2 linked regions of the Oreochromis niloticus genome follow. The protein of the gene in region 1 interacts with the protein of each later gene in a pairwise test. Links are inferred from orthologs where the notes say so. Each region holds a gene or a part of one and is shown in the gene's direction. Other genes may lie near its edges.

Region 1 (7,276 bases):
ATACTTCTGCGACTTATGATATAAAACAAACAGGGGCTAAAAGAGGCTATGGTATGTCTCTGGCAACTTTAACACGATGTCCCAGGACAAATTTGTAAATTTCTGGATTACTGTTAATCTCCATAGAATCAAGAACTCATGTCCAGTTTCACGGCTATGGACCAGTTAATTATGTTTCCAGGTGATAGTTTGATTCATAGATTCAGCACACAACCATTAGTCTAGGCCTTTTAGTTCAAATTCTCTTCACTTATGTTTGTAAAATGATCAGGGAAGCTACTGCAATTTTGCCTGACATTGTTATGACAGCTATATTCACCTGTACATTTATTATATATCATAATATATTGACGGGAGAGCTATATTCACCTGTACTTTCATAATAAATCATAATACATTGACACGCAATTCTCTGTCTGGAGAACACTGGTTCGCAAGTAGCCTATCACTAGCAAACAAACAGCTATCCATTTCAAGGAAAACATATCGAACCGGCAACCTTCCGATTACAAGGCGAACTCCCAACTCTTGAGCCACGATCGCCCCACAGTAAGTAAGCTGTGGGGCGTAAGCTAGTAAGCTATTAAGTAAGCTATTAAGTAAGCTATTAAGACTCAATTGTACACTGTGTTCGTGTTTTCCTCCGGAAAAAATAAGTTCCGTTGGAGCAGCCTTTCAACGCCTCTCTCTGTCTCTGGCAAGCAAAGTTGACCCAGACAACAAAGTAAAGCTATTTTTCGGCTACCAGCCCGACACGGAACCCACTGTATTAGCCCGAGGTCCCTTTACTACTGTTCGGAGCCGCGGACCTTCAGTAACAGTAATAAATCACAGCAATAGTACATTCACGTAGTTGTAAACAGCATGATAATATATTAAGTAATCCAAAGTATTCAGAATACGTTACTCTCATTGAGTAACGTAACGGAATACGTTACAGCAGGGGTGGGCAATTCCAGGCCCCGAGGGCTGGTGTCCCTGCAGGTTTTACACGTGTCCTTGAACCAACACAGCTGATTTAAATGGCTAAATTAGCTCCTCAACATGTCCTGATGTTCTTCAGAGGCCTGGTAATGAACTAATCATGTGATTCAGGTGTGTTGACCCAAGGTGAGATCTAAAACCTGCAGGGACACCGGCCCTCGGGGCCTGGAATTGCCCACCCCTGCGTTACAGAATACATTTTGGGCCATGTATTCAGTATTCTGTAATGGAATACATTTTAAAAGTAACCTTCCCAACACTGCTAAACAGTTATTTGGGCTGCTGTGAAGCTGATCTAATGATGAAACATTTCCATCCAAATGGGAGTGTTTTTCTTTTCCATGCCTCCATTCACAGGGTGTAAAGGTTTTCACACTAGATAAATAACAAATTCAGCAGGTCTGGATAAACACAGTGGATTCACTTAGGATTTAATACTGGTTATACCATGCACAACAAGGGCTTGCAATGACTCATTGTTATACAGTGATATTTTGTAGGTGTAGTTAGTATGCCAACCTTTATTCCATTCGTAGCCATTCTACTATAATGTAGATAAAATATAAAACATTGCATCCATAGTGAAAGTCAGATTCTAGTTTGTTCTACCTGCTTATAAAGGATTCCTAAATATTAACATAAATAAATAAAAAACATTCATTTTTAAGTTGAATCATGGGTGTGTTGTACAGTCTTCTGATTTGCAAGTTTTGTTTAATGTATGTCTGTACACAAACTACACTTAATTCACTGTAACACCTTGTGCAAAATACAGAATTTATTTGCGGATTCTGTTATAAATATTAGGAAGCCGGACAGTGTCAGATGAGCTGGCAGGATGCAACAGTTTTTGCTATGTTAGGTCAGCATTTTCTACACAGTACAGAAGACATTAAAGTGTTAGATGTGTTGTTTAGTGTCTTCACACACTGTTTTTGGTCAAATAAGCAAAATCGCATAATACTTCAATTTAAGACTGCAATGCTTTCTAAGAGTGGCTGTGAGTGTGTTTATTTCAGCAGGGTCTTCATAACTCTTATGGAAGAACCTTTGTAACCACCACCAAAGTGGTTCCAGTGATTCAGGTAGTGGAAGAGTTGGTAAAGCTGGTTCCTCTTTGCAAATCCTGGTGCTTGGGGAATCTTGCTGTGGTATGCAGAGTAAAAAGCGCTGTTGAAGCCACCAAACATCCCAGCAATACCCAACTCAAACTCAGAGTGCCCATAGAAGGAAGCAGGATCGAAGATGACTGGGCCGTCTGCACACTCTGCCACGTTTCCTCCCCATAAATCTCCATGTAGGAGAGCGGGGACTATCTCCACATCTTTGAAGAACTGGGGGATCTTCAGCTGGAAATAAGAGACACAACATGCACATTACAATGCTGAAACAATCATAATGTCTTGTGCAAAATATGTTTAATTTCAAACAGAATCAAAGGGAGGTTGCACCTGTAACTCAGCCCATAGTTCTCTGGTCTCCCTGTCTCCATACGATTTCTCCACCACGTTAAGCTGGTGCTGTAGCCTCTGCTGGGTGTAGAATGCCACCCAATCACTCTGCCATTGATTGTCCTGGAGAGGTAAGAAAGAGAAGAAACTGTGATGCTGCTGAAATTCACTTTAACATCTTGAAGATTTGGAGACCAAACATTTGTAACACAACTTAGAGACATCAATACTGTACACCTTCCCCTAGAATGCAGACACAGTATATCGACACGTATACATTGGCTTTACCTGTGGCAGATATCCACAGCATGTAGTTACATGGAAGCCAAATTTTTCAACAGCAGCCACATCTGACTGACCCGCTCCTTTTCCTGCATATATAGCCGCAATATTAATAAACAGTCATCACAAACGTTTTACCTAAAATATGACACAGTTCATTATTATTCATTGGTGTGTGTGTGTGTTCTTGTCTAGCTATCTTTGTGAGGACCGAAATCTGCATTCTACTATACTTGTGAGAACCAGCAGTCACTTGTGAGGACACACAACCCGGTCCTCACATTTTTGAAGGCATTTAAAGCCATTTTTGAGGCTTAAAACGTGGTTTTAGTGTCAGGGTTACAATTAGGTTATGGTTAGGTTTAGGGTAAGGGTTAGGGTTAGGCATTCATTTTTAATGGTTAGGGTTAGGGTAAGGGGCTAGGGAAACCATTATGTCAATGAGGGTCCTCACTAAGATAGCTGAACGGGGTTGTGTGTGTGTGTGTGTGTGTGTGTGTGTGTGTGTGTGTGTGTGTATTATCCACATTGTGGCATCCTAAAATTAAGTTAAACTGAATTACCCACTGTCTGTTGCTCTTTATTTAATTTTTCCAGTTGTTTCTTGTTGTGAAGATGCAGATCTGCCATCTTCTCTCCTAGCTGTTTTGAGTACCTGCTCATTGCATTTAAAAATAAAGTATGTCATTGAAAAAATATTTTGCTCAGTGTTTCTAAAACTAAATTCATCTGCCCAAATTCTGCTTTAAACTGCACTAAAGAAAAAAATGTAGTCAAGAGCTCTCTTACTTGCTAAGACTGTTCATGTCCAGATGTTCCATCACAAATACAGAGCCTCCCGTGTCAAGCTCAATCACCTTTATGGGCTTGGGGACTTTCACGGTTTCTGTCTTTACAATAGCCTCCAAACTGGCCACTTCTCCATCAAACATCAGTTTGGCCTGGATAAATTAAAGACAGGACAACACGGTCTGGTAAACACAAGCTTCAGTAACTGTAAATATTTGCATCGTTCTCCACTCCACAACACCCGCACAAAGTCCACGGACAGTAGTGTGGTGCAGCTGCTGGATCATGTCCTATTCATTTAAGTCCCGAGTTGAGCACACGCCGAAAGCCGACCATGAACTAACTGAATGACACAACAGTTAAAGAAAATGAAAAACTAACAATGGCAGATACCTCACTCTTGTGATTTGTCTTTACAAACACTTTCCCAGTGTCAGTATGATAACTCTGTCCCTCGCTGATGCATCCACCTCCAGCATGACCAGCTGATTTCAGCATGGTTGTCCCCAACTCCTTCTTTAACTTAGCTTCCATGATTATTTATCATCAGTTCCAGGACAGTTACAGCAGGACTAAAACCAACTACGCATTGCAAATGCGGGTATGAAAGTCTTTCTGACAGTTTCCGTTGTGGCAGCCAACCAGGACTTTGTCCCGAAGCAGGATTTTGTTTTGCTTCCGGTATGTAAATAATGATAGAGTAGTAGCCAATCATAAACAAGTCTGGGTTGTTTATGATTGGATTGATTTCTACTTTGTCCAATAGTTGCGACGTCTGCCCGGTCACGTGAACGTCGCCATGGTGCCAAGTGAGGCTACAGCTATACGCTACGAGTTTAACTATGGTTCTGCAGAAAAACCGGCATGACCAGCAAAGAAATGTGTTTACTCCTCGGAGCGACCGGTGTTGGTAAGACGTTGTTGCTCAAACGTCTACAAAATATCCTTTGTGGCCATGTGAATTTCTTTGACGTAAAAGGAAATACTACCAAATAGCTTAATTAGCTAACTAATTTAGCCTATGAGCTTGTGTAGTACTTAAGTTGCTAAGTAATGGACGACCAGGGTCTGTATATCGCCTTTCCCAATTGCCAAATGTCGATACCCAGTGTTATTTTATTTTGCATCGGTATGTGTACAAATTCATCTTCATAATAAGACCTCTAAGAGAGATTATTATTACAATATAGAAGCTATGATAGCCCTTATTAGTTTGGAAATTCGCATTACTGCAGAAATTAGTGCTGTACTGTAATGTGAAATTGTCAATGGTCAGAAAGTGGATAATAACAATAATAATTATAATTATATAAAACAATAGGAAACATGTACAAGGTAGAAGTATAATTTAAATGTGTGTACATATATGGCGCAGTGATAAAATATAACATCTTTAGATGCCTAGAAGCAACAAAACAGAACCCCCAGATGATGCTAATAGGAGATGGAGTGTTGAAAACAGTTGCACACTGTTATTTATCAGTCCCTAATGTGTGCATGTGTAAATATACATGTGTTTTACTGCTGCGGCTCTGCTAGATGGAAAGACCTCCAATATTGCTCCTTTACACACCGTGGGTCCAGCAGCCTGACGCTTAAGAAGCTGCTCAGTGCTGTAAGAGTGTCCTGCATTGGGTGGGAGGTGTTTAGCTACAATGCTACCGGTCACTTACTACCTCCACTGGGTCAAGAGGGCATCACGTTGGCACTCTTGGTCTACCTGTTTCAATTCTTTTTGTCCCCAGTAGAGATACTGCTGCCCCAACAGACCAACACCATTACAGATGGCTGTTGGAACCACAGAGTCATAAAATGTCTTCAGGAGCTTCTCCTGCACTTCAAAAGTCCTTGGCATACTTACCAGATACAGCCTGCTAGCTATTTCTGTATTTTTCCAGTTGCTTTTATTCTAAAAATTATATTTCAGAGATTGAAAGGGAAGTGATCTGCAACAGCACAAGTTAAACACTATCCTCCAGTTGCCTAGATTACATGCATGGGGCCCATCGCATATAAACTTTGCCCAAATTGGTGGATTATTAATAAACTGTCATCTGAGCAGATGACATGATCTCATTTGTGAGGTGACAAGTGAACAGTAGTCTCTCAGCTGTGACATCACCAACCTTACTCATAACAAATATTCAAGTTCTACTTTCATAGCTCATAAAATATTGCATAAACATTTCAAAATGTTTTTCTTTAAAGCTGATAGCAATGCTGGCTCAAGTCAATTTTCCTATCAGATTTCATTTACAGTTTATCGTACATGGTTTAGATGAATTAGGGACACCACCTTCAACTCTTCCCACAGTAAGTACTAATGGACAGTTCAAATTCTCTGACACCTTATCCGTGTAATTTCTTCAATCTCCAGTCTTCATTCTTTGTAGGTAGGAACCAATCTGACAGACCTGACCGTGAAGAAGAAGAAGGTGACTGTGAGAGAGCTGGGAGGCTGCATGGGCCCTATATGGCCCAGTTACTTCAAAGACTGCTCCTCTGTCATTGTATGATCTTTGTATACATGCTGTTTATATTTGTAATATTCAATATGGGTTTTCTAAATTGAAGTGTTTGAGTAGATTTCTTTTGTTTACATTTCTCCATAGTTCATGGTGGATTCAGCCAACATTGCTCAGATATCCTCCTCCTGTATCCAGCTGCTGTCAGTACTCTCAGCTGAGCCTCTGAGCAAGGCCTCTGTGCTTATTCTCTTCAACAAGAGGTGACACTCCTAGAATACACATCAGTCTCTATTAGTGTTTTACTATATTGTACAAGATCTCTAGCAGGTTTAATGCAATTTGTATGTAATAAGGAAAGCTAATAATACCACTAGGAAATTTTTGATTTTCTTTTCCAATTTTAAATTTTTCCCCCAGGGACACGCCTTGCACTATGAGCCTTATAGAGATAAAGTCACTGTTCAGGATGGATGACATTGTTGCATCTGCGACTCAGCCAATCACAACACTGGAAGTCAGTGCCAGATCTGGAGAGGGACTTAAAGAGGTGATGAGCTGGCTGGAGTCCGTCACAGTCAAGTGACATACGCTTACTGACTACTTCATTAGGTACACATGTACAATTACTCTTTCATGCAAATATCTAATCAGCTAATAACATGGCAGCAACTGAATTAGTTTAAGCATTGAAACATGGTAAAGATGATCTGCTGAACCGAGTTCTCTGGCCTTGTTGTTGTAGATGGTCAGAGGAGAAGGAGACCAGAGGGGCTAAGAACAGGAAACAGGCTACAGTTTGCACAGGCTAACCAAAGTTAGACATCAAAGAATTGAAAAATGTTGCCTGGTCCAGTGAGTGTCAGTTTCTCCCGGGAATTTGGATGGTATTGTTACAATTTGGCATAAATAAAATGAAAGTATAGATCCACCCTCCCTTGTATCAGAGGATCAGGCTGGTAGCGGTGTAATGGTGTGCCAGATATTTTCTTGGTACCCTGCACCCAGCAGGATAACGCAGTATGTCACAAAGCTCCAGTCATGAACTTGACAATCAGTTCACTGTACTCAAATGGCCTCAAGAGTCACCAGATCTCAATCCAGTGGAGCACCTTCAAAGTCTGGTGCAAACTCACACCATGGTTGTGCACATGACAAATCTGCAGCAAGTGCATAAGACTGTCAAGTCAATATGGACCAAAATCCAAGGAATGTTTCCAGCACCTTGTTAAATAGAATTAAAACAGTTCTGAAGGAAAACTAGTGAGGTATACCTAATAAAGTGGCCAGTGACTGTGTGTGTGT
Region 2 (7,578 bases), on another chromosome or scaffold:
CTTTGCAGTAAAGTAAAGCGATGGAGGGCCCCATCCTATTCCTGTTTCACAGACCTTACCATGTCACATCTACACCCTGTTTTATTTGAGCTGTCCTGCTGTCAGATGATCATAACACCACTGAACCCAGTGATGTAGACCACTCAAGTAGGAAAAAAGGCTTTGATAAAACGTTGCCCATGGGTGCAAAGCTGATGTGGTGGCTTACAATAGAGCTGAGACAAGAGCCTGTTGTCAGTGTTGGTCTTCCTGCTATTGCATACCAAAGTACAACGTCTCTTGATCATGTGACATTGCAGCTAGTTAAAAACTCATCATTTGCACTTGTCTTAATGTTTGTGTATTATCCTCCGCAGACATGGCTATTCGTTATCCTATGGCTGTTGGCCTTAACAAAGGCCACCCAGTCACCAAAAATGTAACTGCTCCCAAACACAGCCGCCGGCGCGGGGTGAGTATCTCCTGCTGAGTGACTTTACAGACTTGACTATATTACAAGTGTTAGGATAAATATATTTGCACTTAAGACTGTAGTTTGTGTACATACTCTGTGACTGGATTGACCTGAAGCTTAAGATGAAACATACAGTGTAAATCAGTCCACATAAGCATAATCATCAGGCATCAACATTCCTATATCACATTATGTCCAAATGGAGTGAATGGTGTTAAATGCTTTGACTTACCGTGTACTATGTCTTTACTGCCCAGCGTCTGACCAAACACACAAAGTTTGTGCGGGATATGATCCGTGAAGTGTGTGGGTTTGCTCCGTATGAGAGGAGAGCCATGGAGCTGCTGAAAGTGTCCAAGGACAAGAGAGCCCTCAAGTTCATCAAGAAGAGGGTGAGTTTGTGTTTGTGTCAAAGCACCTGCAGGTGCTCACCAGCCTAAACCACAGTAGTATTTACCCAGTTACAAACCACAAAATTGAGGACAAGTTGTAAAATGTAAATAAAGATAATACAACGTTTGCGTATTTATAAATATTTATTTATAAAACGCATTACATGTTTAAACTGAATAAATGTACCGTGTTAAGAAAACTGAGCTCATTTTGACTCGATGGCAGCAGCAGGTATCAGAACATTCGGACAGGGTCAAGCTGAAAAAGTGGCACTAAAAAAAAAAGAGCTGGAGGAACATTTAGCAGCCACTTAGGTTGACAACATGTGAGTCACATCACTGGTCTAAAAAGGGCATCTTGGAGAGGCAGAGGTTCACCATTCTGCAGAAAACTGCATCTACAAATTGTATTTCAGAATGTTTCTGAATGTAAACACGTGACGACTTTAAGTAATTCATCATCTGTAGTTCATGATATCATCACTGTTGGACGTCCGTATCACCAGGCCCTCAAAACAGGCATGATTGTGCGGTGGGAATCAGTGCATGGGCTAAGGATAAGTGTGTGAACACAGCTCAGTGTGCCCTCCACAGATGCAGGTTAGCACTCTGACATGCAAAGTGGCAGTCACATCGGAGTGTTATCCATAGACACCGCTGTCTTCTCTGGACCAAAGCTAGTTTAAAATAGACTAAGGCAAAGTGGGAAACTGCTGAGGTCATATTAATCGAAATCGGTGCCTTTGGAAGTGGCAGTTTGCACCAAAAACAGGACAAAGCAGGGCCAGAACTGCTGAGCAGCTGAAATCCTCTAACAGAGAAGAAGAATAATCTTCTAACATTTCTCTTCCACAAGTCCCTCAGCTGCTCTGGTGGACTAGTGGGTTGTTGTTAGAAGAAGAGGGATGCTACACAGTGCTGCATGTGACCCTGTGCCAACTTATTTATGATTTGTGGCTGCGATCACATTCAAAATGAGCTCAGCTTTCATAACATGTTCACTTAATGAGGTTAAACAGTGCCATGTTTTGCGATTTGGAGGCTACACTCATTATTTTCCATGTCACACAGCCTTCCAACTGTTAACTATGAGTTGAGATGTGTGCATTCTCACAATTTCAGTGAGGTACTTTTATCATGAGCAATCTGTAGTGTGTTGGCCATTTATAAGGACCTGAGCTTTTTTGTGATTGTATGTTGGATATGATATTATGCACTGACTGGACAACAGAAAAGCTCAGAGCTCTTCTAATATTTCTATACTGTTTTTCCCCTACAGATCGGCACTCACATTCGGGCCAAGAGAAAGAGAGAAGAGCTGAGCAACGTACTGGCTGCCATGAGAAAGGCTGCTGCCAAGAAGGAGTAAAAAGTCATTTAATAAAACGTGAAACTACATTCCAGCCTCGTCTTTCTTTTTTTGCTTTGTCACTATTCATCAGATCTGTTTACGTTGCTGCAACCATCTTAGCCGACAGCACACCTGAAGATGTTTGTAGAAATCTCAAAATTGAGTGATGCTTCAAAATATACACATAACATGCTGCTTGGCTTTAGACCAGACTGTAGATTAGCCTACTGTGGCTAAAGGAATGAATATCACCGAAGAACTTACCACTGCAGCAGAAGTAAAGCAATTACATTTTTGTATAGAAATGTGTACTTTAAGTATAAAACAAATTTTATAATGGTGACTTGTGCCCATTTATTTCTGTTTGAAAGGAGCATGAAGCTTTGGGATGTGTGTGAAAATGCTTAATCAGCTGAGTGTTCTCCAGCACTTTATTCTGTCTCACACACGGTCACACTCAAGCCACTTCCAATTTTTTAATGAGTTCACAAAGTGAAATGGAGAAACATGAGGTGTGGAAGTTCAGTGGTTACCACTGTCGCCTCTCAGTGAGGGGTTTGTGGTTCACACCCCAACTGGGAAGTTCTTTGATGAGCTTGCATGGTTTTGATGTATGGCGTGTAGTCTTACAGAATTTGAGTGATCAATACTACAAAACGCTACACATACACCAGTCGTGCTAAAATTAGCACTCACAGGTGAATTGAATAATGCTGATCATCTCCATCTCTGTTAATTGGCTATGCACCACAGACCTCTGTGGCAGTAGTTAAACAGTTACTTAAAATGCCACTTGACCCAGCTGTATTGGCTAATTATAGGCATTATCTCCAACCTTCCTTTTATCTCAGAAATTCTTGAAAGTGTAGTTGTAAACCACTTACTGATCATGTGCAGAGAAAAATAGTTTATTTGAGGAGTTTCAGTCAATATACAATAATGGCCTTAGTGAAGGTTACAAATGATCTTCTTATTCGGACCTGAGAGATGCATCTCCACCTTCAGCTGATCCATCTACTGTTCACTGAAGCCTCATCAGAAATTGCCTCAGTGGAAGGGTTGCTTACAGGAAGTCATTGTTAAGAAAGGTAAACAAAGAAAAGCCTGAAGTATGCCACATTACACAAGAACTGGACTGAAAATCAGTGGCAACTGGCCCAATGGAGTGATGGATCCAAATTAAAAGATTTTGGTTCAAATAGTTGTCAGTAAGTGTAGAGGAGGTCAGGAAAGATGTAAAACGGTGAACACCTACAGCCTGCATCTGTGAAAAACGGTGGAGGCTCTCTCATGGTTGGGGCTGCATTTCAGCCAGTGGTGTTGGAGATCTTGTTAAAATCGATGGAATTATGAATCCAGATAAGTATCAAAAGATTTAGCATCTGCAAAAATGGTAAATTTTCAGTACTGTTTGGTCCTGGAGAAGGACAGCCCAGTTTGGATTCTGCGTGCAAACCACAGTTTCCAGCCTGGTGAGCCTTGCATTTGGGAGAGTTTGCTCTGTCTTTAACATCTTAAGAAAATTATATTGCACAATTTTCTCATCCAATAAAAGAATATTTACTACATCCGTTTACCTTGTATTTTATTTGAAACCTACAAAAGGATTTTTAGCTGTCACTACGGGATATTGCCCTTCAATATAACTAAAGCTTTCAGACAGCTGTAGGGGTCGCAGTATATAATTATTTGTGAGACAGTCATACAGGTATAAACTAAAAATTAGAACTAAATACCCTGAATTTGAACTGAAATGTAACATTTAGGACAACTGAGTTAAATTCTATCAGTGAGCTATTTTTTTATGTAAGTACAGTATATATAATAAAATATGTATAAGATCTATTATTTTTTGTACCATCAAAATGAAATGAGGATAGTGTCTTGAGCTACACTATAGCTAACTAGTTTACTTGCTAAAGTTAATATTACTGTTGGCTAAAGGGAGTCCGCGCACGGCTGTGGTGTTCTCACATACATTACACGAAACAACACAATTTTGCTCCAATAAAAGTAAAATAAATGACATAAATTAAAGATTTTCTCCATTTCGGACGTCCATCACGGATGCAGCGTCTACTGTCGCGGTTGCTAAGCAACAAGAGCCGAGCATCGTAGGGGGACACGGTCCAGTTTAACAGCCGCTCACTTCCGGTCTTTAAGGGCAGCCCCTGAATTTGAACGCACACCTAGTTTTGCGTTTTAGGAGAGCGAGTGCTTAAATGATAAAAGAAGTAAGCACACAGACAGCGCAATAATGATGTAATACTTTGTGTGTGGCGTTGCCACTGGTGACGCGTCTTTATCCGCTTTAGTCCCGCCCTTGGTCGCTATTCTCCTTGTGATTGGCTGATAGGGGGTCCCTTGCGTTTCACTGGTTAGGCTGTGTGCAGCCCGTTTGCTAGCTGGGTATATTTAGCTGATTGCATTATCGGATCAGATTTAGCCTGCAGTCCAGCAGAGTAGTGAACGTTGTTCCAGGCGAATTCTGACTAGTAGTTAGCCAAGTAGTTAAGCTAACGTGAACAGCAGCCGTCTCTTTTCAGAAAAGTCTAGGTTATCTGTGAGGAACGAAAACAAACCATTTCGGACATGTCTTCAGACGAAGACAGGGCCAAGGAAATTTTGAAGGGCTTCAAACTGTATCCTTTTTCCTGTTTATGTTGCGCGAATGTTAGAAACACAGCAGTGAGCTAAATAGCTAGCTGTCTGGGTAAAGGCATAGGACAGGATGCTGCAGCCACATTAGCAGGATGGATGTTGTTGTACAACAAGCTTAGTTGCTAAAGCTAACCTGCCACAGTCTCTGCTCACGGAGTTGTATAGTTGCTGTGTTCCAGTGTCTGAACGGACACAACAGCAGCTCATTGAATGACGACCTGTGGGCTCACATGAGCTTCCACACGAGGGTGAATTTGCCTGCAGTTGTAGTACCTGTGGCACATGAAGAGGATGAGATTTTGCTCAGGTAGCTGAGAAGTAACTGTTGTGCCTCCTGTAACTATTATTAAGCGCCTCACAGGTATGTGACTCGCGTTGAGCATAGTCTGACTGCTGTATGGTTCCGTAATGCTGGAAGTTGAAACCCAGGTGCGCCTCTTTGTGTGATGATGGCAGACTTGATTCCACTCAGGTATTCTGGATTTGTATGCTAATCACCAGAGCAACATTGGAGATTGCAGTATGACCTGTTAAATGTGTAGTCATGTAGTGAGTCAATTTTATTCCTCTTTGGTGTGCCTGTTAGCGCTCATCCAACACATGTCTGAGAAAGTGACCGAGCAACAGATTTGTGAAGATTGGAGAATAGGAGATGCTGTTCATCATCAGCTTTTAAAACGTTGACTTGGCATCTCTAACGATCCAGTCACACTGTACAAATGGATCAAAATCTTTGTTGTTCTGCACAGGTGCACTGAACGCAGGACTGCAAGGAAAATCCACTGCTCTCAAAAGAGAACACTGCTGCCCATCTGTGGCTTAGTAAAGATCACATCACTAAGCCAGAAGTAATTAAACATTTCTTAGGAAAGATGAGACCCAAGAGGAACTTTCTGATTAATCAGAAACGGGGTACTGTCCCACATCCTGATAAAAGACACGCAGAAATCAATTTTGTTGCCTGAATCTGTATATTTGATGTGAGTTCCAACAGACTAAGAGATTGTGCAGTAGATTAGTCATGTATAACAACATTTATACATTTTTGTAATTTGCCAGTTTAATACATGGACATTCCTGTGACAGTACAGCTTAACAGCTGCAAATATAAAACATATTCCCCCAGCAGGGAATCTATAATGCACTTAAAAATGGTGCTTCCAGTGGATTTTGAAGAAAAACTCTGAACGTAACCCGCTTCCACGCAGGATAAGTGTTCAGTCATTTAGGTAGGTAAAGAGAGTCACTTTAAGCTTGATGCAGCTCATCATGTCATTGATTCATTAATTCTGAGTTGTAGCATCCAGTTTAAAACAAATGTCAGAACATCAGTCTGTAAACTAAACATGAAGCTTGTTTTGTTTTGTTTGTTTGTTTTTTAACCAAGGGAAACAAGGAAAAAAAAAAAGACAAAGCGATTTAAGTCATGCAGTAAAAGTGCAGTAGAGTAGTATCATAATAGTCTCTTATGTGTAGGTTATCATTGTAGACTTATTTTTAGGGGTTACGCCTTGTCTACACAAGCTGTAACATAAGCATGAAGCAGAAGCTAAGGAGGTGTTTCAAGCACACATGTGATGTTTAGGTTGCCTATATTTTATAAGAACTCAGTGCTGAGTCAATTCACAGTCATTAAAATACAAGGACATGCCTAGAAGCTCTGAAATATGCACTCAAACACAGGAGTAAAACTATGTTATAACCTGTGTCACACAGAATTAAACAAATACGCTTCATTTCTGATGCTCAGAAAACCTAAAAACTGAAAAGCATGTCCAGATTAGAAATCGTACTATGGGAAAAAGTCTACAGAAAAGAAAGGGGTGGGGGTAGGGGGGGTGATTGTGTACTTAATGGTTAGGTCTGTGCCAGTGTCACCCTTTCATGTAAATTAGCTTGAAGATACACTAGGACTCCCTGGGTTAACTTGACCAGTTAACCAGCTTCATGTGGGCACTTTTTACTGCAGGCTTGATTCATACATTCACACACATTTCTACAGCACTTTTACTGCATGCCTTTAACCGTTTGGTCAGACCTCTTGATGCACTGTGGTAATGCTTAAATCCATGATTTAATGGAACGGGGCTTTACTGCCTTCTGTCCTTATTGAAATGGGGTGAATATCATTTTCTTTTTCCCTCCTTTACTGTAACGGTAACACATATACAGTCCAATATGACAACAGCCCTGTTTAACTTCCATAATACTAAAGTAGTGTTTGTGAAGTTATTTCACTTCGTCCCATACTGAGTAGTCATCAGATTTGTAAATGGTGAAATGTGATGATTTTAAATGGTCACGATGTTCTTACGAAACCCCTTCAGACATCTTGGAACTGGAAGGAAGTAGGGCTGCCACGATTAGTTGACTAGTCACGATTACGTCGACTATTAAAATCGTTGACGACTAATTTAATAGTCGACACGTCGTTTGAAGCTTCGTAAGATCCCAAAGACGCAGGAATAAGTAGTAGGATTTAAGAGTGTAATAACGGACTGAAACAGAAGATGGCAGCACTGCATGTGTAAGGATGCCAGCTGCCGTTAAACCCCGAAGAAGAAGAAGCTGTGTCCCAGAATTCATAGCGCGGACCTGCTTGGCTCAGTTTTCAACAATGGCGGCAGCTAGTTAGTTTTAATATCACTCTTGTTATTCTTTCTGGGTCACAAAATAAACGTTTAACATATTTTCAGGCGAGAATGTAGCTGTGTAAACCT

What was found.
Region 2: the proteins of arl16 (region 1) and pde6d interact in binary tests that used the Homo sapiens proteins (3 or more experiments, as listed by UniProt). The two-hybrid records come from large-scale screens. The link is inferred for Oreochromis niloticus from reciprocal best matches to the Homo sapiens genes ARL16 and PDE6D.

The regions. Positions count from the first base shown.
Region 1 is NC_031969.2:22,590,931-22,598,206, forward strand, and holds arl16 (ADP-ribosylation factor-like protein 16), read left to right. Parts: upstream 1-4,258; 5' UTR 4,259-4,370; coding exon 4,371-4,446; intron 4,447-5,752; exon of another isoform or gene 5,753-5,763; coding exon 5,764-5,819; intron 5,820-5,899; coding exon 5,900-6,016; intron 6,017-6,118; coding exon 6,119-6,234; intron 6,235-6,391; coding exon 6,392-6,557; 3' UTR 6,558-6,583; intron 6,584-6,716; 3' UTR 6,717-7,162; downstream 7,163-7,276. Other genes in the region: fn3krp (ketosamine-3-kinase), read right to left, coding at 1,995-2,333, 2,436-2,558, 2,724-2,806, 3,281-3,372, 3,507-3,658, 3,900-4,040. UniProt on the Homo sapiens protein: May suppress the RNA sensing activity of RIGI in a GTP-dependent.
Region 2 is NC_031981.2:24,030,375-24,037,952, reverse strand, and holds the start of pde6d (retinal rod rhodopsin-sensitive cGMP 3',5'-cyclic phosphodiesterase subunit delta), read left to right. Parts: upstream 1-4,553; 5' UTR 4,554-4,789; coding exon 4,790-4,839; intron 4,840-7,578. Other genes in the region: rpl36 (large ribosomal subunit protein eL36), read left to right, coding at 359-451, 712-846, 2,126-2,215. UniProt on the Homo sapiens protein: Promotes the release of prenylated target proteins from cellular membranes. Modulates the activity of prenylated or palmitoylated Ras family members by regulating their subcellular location.